Coturnix japonica: one gene and its partner. The protein of the gene in region 1 interacts with the protein of each later gene in a pairwise test. Links are inferred from orthologs where the notes say so. Each region holds a gene or a part of one and is shown in the gene's direction. Other genes may lie near its edges.

Region 1 (3,750 bases):
CGAGTGCATCACAGATTGGAGCTGCTGGGGGCAATCCCACCATAAAATAGAAATCTGGATCTTTTTCCCTGTTATTTTGCTAGCAGCTCAGTGTTTTTTTCCCCAAAGCCAAGAATCCCAGCCCTCTGCAGTATGGAACAGCACATTCCAGAACACTGGAAGAAACGCCATCACTGCAGGTCATCATCATTCCCATTATTAATCTCTTTATTTTCTGGGGGGCAATCTCCAGGCAAATCACTTGCTAAGCAAAGCAGCCAGGAGGAACGAGCGTGACCCCCCTGCACATTGCGTACACATCTACGCTTTCTCTGCTGGCTGTAAACCCATTTTGGATCAATGGCTCATAGCAATGACACCAACGCATGCGTTCAGGGTCGGCTCATTCAGCTGCCCCATTCTGTTCCCATCCAAGCCACTCTCCCTGTTACAAATCAGACACTCTCTGGGTTTAGCAACTGCTGTTGTACTGCCCAAGAGCCCGCCTGCCCCAGGCAGAGCCCGGGACCCCACCGAGCTGGATTCCTTCTGGTTAAAATTAGCCAGAGCGATTATTTCATACCCATAAGCCGAACACATTCAGCTCGGCCGCTGGAAGCGTGCCCTGTGCTGGCAGCATTGCAATGGTAAAAGAAAAAGGAGCTCTCCAGAGGAGGTCACAACGAGCCACAGCTCAGATTAAATCGCTCACCCTGGCCACGTGCCTGGCAGGGGGAGCAGTCAGGAGCAAGGTGCTGCTTCACCAGCACAGCTCAGAGCAGCGATAAGCAATGCAGCCATAAGCAATGCAGCCATAAGCAATGCAGCCATAAGCAATGCAGCCATAAGCAATGCAGCCATAAGCAATGCAGCCCTGGGGTCCTCTGCTGGGGCAGCAGATGTGAGCAATGCATGGGAACACCAGAGTGTTCCTTCCTGTGCAGGCTACAGCCCCAGCTTTGTGTCCAACCTCTTGATGAACACATGCACATTTCACAGCCTGTTCATGTATTTGATTGCAGCAAGTAACAATAGGTACGAAGGAGGTTGGAAGGATGGAAAGAAACACGGCCCAGGCAAATTCTACTACTTGGATAAGGGGCAACTGTTTGAAGGCATCTGGGTGACAGATGTACCGAAGTGCGGGACTATGATTGACTTCAGCAGAGATGCAGCTCCTGCCCCTACTCGGTATCCAATCCCAAAGGTAACTGCTTGGAAATGCTGCTTTTGCTAACCATGTTTACACCAATAGTGCTTATAAGAGCTCACAGTACCTCTCTGGACCATGCTTTCTCTTCAGGTAGTCACTCAGGGTCTGTGCTCGAGCTCTTTTGGTCAGCAGCATCCCATTCCATAGAGAGCAGCCAAACAATGCAGAGCTTTGCATTGTAAGGTTCTCCAACAAATATCACAGCAGCACAGAATAATAAAAACCAAACACTCACCAGAGAAAAACAGCCCTAATGTTGCAAAAAGAGCAGCTTCTGTAACTAAAAATCTTTACCTCACATGGTTTGTTAGAGGTCACCCAACAGAGCTGCCTCTTTGGCAGCTCAGCCCAGGGCACAGGATGAGTTTTGTAGCTGCTAAAGCAGGATGTTCGAGCCCAGCAGCTCAATTAACTCCCTTGGAGACCAAATTATGACCTAATTTTCCTTGTTTTATGAACCAAAAGAAAGCATCAGCTCTCACTGCCGTTATTGTGCTTTCAGCTGGGAGAGATTTATTGATCTCAGAATAGGAATGAAGAAACATAAAAGGAGAAAAATTGACTGCAGGTTTTCATGAACCGTTTGTCAAATTACCGTCAGTAGCAGCTGTGAGGGAAAACTCAGCATCTTCCCTTTCAGGGCGTGCAAGGATAATGAGCAACAGGAGGATGTGTTTGAGAGGGCCCTAACTGTAGTGAGGGGAAGGACAACTGAGTGGCCTCGGAGCAGCTGCTGTTGTGCTTCCCTGTGCATTACCTGCACCCACCCCATTTGACAGCAAGGACTCCTGCTGTCACATAACTTACTGATGCTGAGTGTAATGGCTGCTTATTACTCACTGTCTGAAACCACAGGTGAGATCCAACAGGCTGCAGACCAAAGCCAGTTTTGCTCAGGAACGTGCTTTTGTTAAAGAAGAATCACTGCGGTGCTCCACTTTCAGCTGCTGCAAGGAGACAAATGGATGTTCAACCCTGTAATGAAATTTGGGAAGTGCAGTGATGTTTCTGAATTAGTAACTGAAAGGCTGTGGGATAAACTACAGTCTTGCTGCGTGGGAGATGCTCTGTTAACGTTAATCAATATCTATAAACTTTAAGCCTCTTTAATTACATTGCATAATTGATTTCTGTTCTTTTTATTTAGATTGAACTGGCTGATCCTGATGGTGTTTTAGCAGAGGCCCAAAAGATGTTTGCTGACAGCCAAAACGAATAACTGGATGCTAAAGGACAAAAGATGCAAGATAAGAACATGATCTGGGATACTTGCCTATTTGAGTCCCATGTCTGTGCTGCTGTACATCGTCTTGTGGTCAGCCTCACTTGTCCCCCAGAACTGCCCCTGTTTGCTTCACTGTGCAGGCAGGCTTTGCTTCAGGCCTCCTCCCACCCACTGTTACTTAAAACACAACAAGCAGCAGCAAATAAAAACCATCCACACCACCAAAATACGCTGGTGGATGCAGTGACTCTTTGCCCAGATCCTGGCCTATTCCTCCTGCTGGTCACAAGGTCTGTGGCCGACTGCTGAGAAACAACACGCTGCAGGATGCTGCGTCATCAGTTCTGATTTAAGCTACACTTCAGAGCACCATGTCTCGTTTACAGCTGTAAAGCTGGTCCCTTTTCACATTTTCTCAGTTGGAAGATAACCTACTTTTCTATTTAAACACTTGGAAAAGAACAACAGAGCACTTAGTGTCAAGATTTAAACAGTGCTGATGGGAGGAAAAGCATTCCGCCAACATTGTGCTCTTTATACCTGTGTGAACGGGAAACGTCATCCTTGTACGACTGCAACGAGTACCTGCACACATTTCAGAGACCCTCAGAAACACGGCGAGGGGCAGCACAACACAGGCAAATAGAGGCGGGGGATGTAGAGAAAATGAGCATTTTCAGGCATCTGGGTAACAATCAGCAATAGTTGAGTATGTTTTATTTCATTATCTGAAGTTGTTTTATATCTAAATAATTGACAAACAATAACTGACATTTAAAATGCTTGAGGTAAACGTGAAATACCATTAGTATAAATAAAGAATAAAAAACAAACGTTAAGTGCACTCGTAACATCTGGAGCCATACGCTCAGGCCTGGTTACTGCCTCTGGCACACAGCTATGAGACGTGTCCAAGGCACAACTTTCATGACCATTCCCACAGCTGGAAAAGGAGAGAAACACACTTGATACCAGAGATTAAAGTGCAGGAAATAGTCAGTCAAATGGCTGTAGCTCACAGCTCCCACAGGTTAGGACCCACTGGCTTAAGAAAGTTAAAAAATAAGCTCGTAGCTTTATATTTCCTAAACAAAACACTTTCATTTTGTAAAAGATCCACAAGATAAAAAGAAATCCAGAAACTTACCAAGAACAGCAAATAACTTTACAAAATAAGCTTTGTAAATTAAGCTTTGATAATATATTTTCTGGACTTACATTCAAAATAACGTTAGGAGTTTTAAATACATCATTTACAGACAGACACACAATTCTTCAGCCCTACAGCACCACTTGTTCCAGGACACACATCAAGTCCAACCTGCTTCCTTTC
Region 2 (3,750 bases), on another chromosome or scaffold:
AATGACTCCTTGCATTTAGTAAGGCAACCTGCCCACAAATCTGCAAGAAGCAGGCATGAGCTATGATGGAGTGACCAGTAAAACTCCCTTAATGACCAGTAGCTCCTTTAGTGACTAATAACTTCCTTAGCTAGGGAAGGTTTCTAGAGTATTTTCCTAAAGAATAACAAAGAATTGCTTTGCACTGAAGTAAATAAATTAATTTTATAAGAATGATTGATCTAGCATGCTGCAGCTCACATTTGAAACACAATGAAATGCCCAAGTGGAGCTGGTAATGAGTTGTGTCCACCAGATGTACATCCCAGGACCAGTATTCTTTAATATCTTTATTAATGACATAGACAGCGGGATTGAGTGTACCTTCAGCTAGTTTGTGGACAACACCAAACTGAGTGGTGCATTTGGTACAATAGAAGGAAGGGGTGCCATCCAGAGGGACCTTGATAAACTCAAAAAGTGGGCCTATGTGAACCTAATAAGGTTCAACGAGGCCAAGTGCAAGGTGTTGAAGCTGGGTCAGGGCAGTGCACGATATGTGTTCAGATTGGGACAATAATTCCTTGAGATCAGCCCTGCTGAGAGGGACTTAGGAGTCCTGGTGAATGAAAAACATGACATGAGCCAGTAGCATGTTCTTACAACCTGGAAGCCCAATGGTATCCTGGGCTGCATCAGAAGAGGGGTGTCCAGCAGGGAGAGGGATTGTCCCCCTCTGCTCTGCCCTCACCAGGCCCCATCTGGAGTACTGTGTCCAGACCTGGGATCACCAGCACAAGAAGGATGGGAGCTGTTGGAGAGGGACCAGAGGAGGGCACAAAGATGTTCAGAGGGCTGGAGCACCTCTCCTGTGGAGAGAGGCTGGAGGAACTGGGCTTGAGCAGCCTGGAGAAGAGAGAGCTCCAGGGGGACTTCATTGCAGGGTCCCAGCACTTGGAGGGAACATTTAAGCAGGAGAGGGAGTGACTTTTTATTGGTTGACAGCGATGGGACAAGGGAGAGTGTCTTTAAATTTAGACGGGGAGATTTAGATTAGATACTAGGGGGAAATCTTTCACTGAGAGGGCAGTGAGGCGCTGGCACAGCTGCCCATAGAAGCTGTGGTGCCCCATCCCTGCAGGCACTCAAGGCCAGGTTGGATGGGCCCTGGGCAGCCTGAGCTGGAGGGGGGCAGCCCTGCCCACGGCTGGGGGTGGGGTGGGTGGGCTGTGAGCTCCCTTCTAACCCATCTAACTCTGTATTAACGCGGCGCTGTCTCCTCATCGAGGTGCCCTCAGCACCCGGGACAGCAGGCGCGCCCCCGCCGGCCATAACGGTAACGCAACGCGCGTGCCCGGTTGCCATCACGACGGCTGAGACGCGGAGGCAGCAGCATGTCGGAACAGAGCGACGAGGAGGGCGAGGAGGAGGCCGAGCCTTACCTGGGGGTTCGGCAGGGAGCGGGGCCTCGGGGCAGGGCGGGGAACGGAAGAGAGAAGCTACTGCTTGTGGGGGCTTTGATACCGTAGGCCCCGTGGGGAGATCTCAGGGTGCTACACCAGAGGGAGGGCTGAGCTATTTTGGCTGGGACCTATTTTCTTCACAGGTCATCCATGCTTCCCAGCAATGAGTCAAGAAGGAAAGAAGGGCCCTGTGTGCTGGGATCTGAAGGGAGAGCCTGCGGAGAAGCAGCACACGCTGGCCAGGCTCTTCTGCATGCTCTGCTTGGAGCACAGCTGGAGCACCTTTGAGAAAACGTGGCTTCCTCTAATTAGGTTGATTTCAAGCAGGTCTATTGCTCTTAAACAATTTTTCTAATTGCATTTGATTAGGAGTATGATGGTGACCGCAATAATGAAGGTGAACGGCACGGACATGGGAAAGCAGTGCTGCCCAATGGTGATAAGTATGAGGGTGAATACGAGCACAATCTCAGAAATGGGCAGGTGAGACAGTAACCAGACAGTGGCTGTGTGGTTGTGTTTCTGCAGTTCTGTGAGTCTCTGCACTATACTGAAATGAGTGAGAACTGACAAGTCTTTTACCTATATCAAATATCTTTTAGGGGACCTACAGATTTAAATCTGGTGTTTGCTACATTGGAGAATATCTTCAAAATAAAAAGCATGGCCAAGGTACATTTTATTATCCAGATGGATCAAAATATGAAGGTAAAAGCACTGAACATGGTTGCACAGATTTCTGTAATTGAAAAGACGTGTTTCTCCAGCTCCTGGAATACAAGAAGACAGCAAAGTGGAGATTATTTTAAAAAGATACATTTGCTATAAAACATTTTCCCGTTATTCCTTTTTTACTATGAGCTCCAAGAGCAGATTTATTTATTTATTTATTTATTTATTTATTCATGGGGATTTACTTGAAATACTCTGATAAGTGTGGTATTTAGTAGCAATTTATTCTAGACATGTCCTTATTTCAAGTGAGGCATTACACGTCCTGAGAAATGCCAAGCATCATGTCTAATCTGGTGCAATCTTGATAGAAGAGGGTATAATTGCTCGTATCTAATCATATGTATGATGATTAGAATTGCTGTGTTCAGTATAGACTCATACAATTATTTGAGTTGGAAGGATCCCTTAAAGGTCATGTAGTCCAACTCCCCTGCAATGAAAAGGGACACCTACAGCTACATCAGGTTCTCAGAGCCCCATCCAACCTAACCCTGAATGTGTCCAGGGATGAGACATCCAGCACCTCTCTAGGCAAACTGTTCCAGTGCTTCATCATCCTCATTGCAAAAAATGTCTTCCTTATATACAGCCTAAATCTCTCTGGTTTTAGTTTGAAAGCATTTACCCTCATCTCATCACAACAGACCCTGCTAATGAGTCTGTTGTGACACCTAGAGATGGGAATTAACAGGATATGTCTTAAGCCAGGATTAATATAGTTGAGATGACAAATACCATGGGCCTCTGTTTTCATATCGTCTTCTTTGTACTGATTTTATAGCTATTGCTTAAGAGGCAAAAAAGCATAATGAAGGCAGTGGAAGTAAATGAGCAGGGAACAAGAAGGCAGAGTTGGCAAAGACAGATAACAGAACTTGGAAACTCTGTGTATGGGGAAGCCTTTCCTTGATAACAAAGAGCAAAGAAGATAGTATCTCAATAGGGGAAGAAAACCATCCCAAGTGAAAACATTAGTATTGTCTTTGCCTCTAACGTTGAATTGTTCCTACACTTATACTCAGGTCGGAAGGTGGAAAGTTACTGGATAGTCTTGCATATGGAGCTGCTATCTACCCTGTTGTGTCTAATGATCTCATCTCATCTCATCCATCAAAATTCTCATCCATTTGTCAGATGTATAATAAATCATCCTTTTCTTTGCCACAGAGTATCAGTGCCTCTTTGATTTAATCTGTTTTGATATTAACATTGACATACTTAAATACTGATATGCAAATCAGATATGCTTAGATTTTAATCAACAAATGTTTCCCATTTACATTAGTTTTTTTGTGTTCAGTGGGAAAGAACAGGATTTGTTTTAGCAGTCAGTCATAATGGTGTCATAGTTTTCTTTTCCTTCTCTAATGAGGTGTATTCTCCACTCAGTTGAATTAATGTATGACAATTTTACAAACTGACTGCTATATCACATGACTAAATATACTGCTTCTCACTGTGTTATTGATATGTTCTTTTTAAAGGAAGCTGGGTAGATGATCAGAAACATGGGTATGGAGAATATACCTACCCAAATGGAGACACCTATGCTGGAGAATGGTTTAAGGACAAC

Evidence for each region.
Region 2: the proteins of MORN3 (region 1) and RSPH1 interact in binary tests that used the Homo sapiens proteins (3 or more experiments, as listed by UniProt). The two-hybrid records come from large-scale screens. The link is inferred for Coturnix japonica from reciprocal best matches to the Homo sapiens genes MORN3 and RSPH1.

Annotation. Positions count from the first base shown.
Region 1 is NC_029530.1:4,805,270-4,809,019, reverse strand, and holds the end of MORN3 (MORN repeat-containing protein 3), read left to right. Parts: intron 1-1,001; coding exon 1,002-1,186; intron 1,187-2,339; coding exon 2,340-2,411; 3' UTR 2,412-3,256; downstream 3,257-3,750. UniProt on the Homo sapiens protein: Assembles a suppression complex (suppresome) by tethering SIRT1 and MDM2 to regulate composite modifications of p53/TP53.
Region 2 is NC_029516.1:98,604,759-98,608,508, reverse strand, and holds the start of RSPH1 (radial spoke head 1 homolog), read left to right. Parts: upstream 1-1,300; 5' UTR 1,301-1,373; coding exon 1,374-1,427; intron 1,428-1,811; coding exon 1,812-1,925; intron 1,926-2,044; coding exon 2,045-2,150; intron 2,151-3,661; coding exon 3,662-3,750.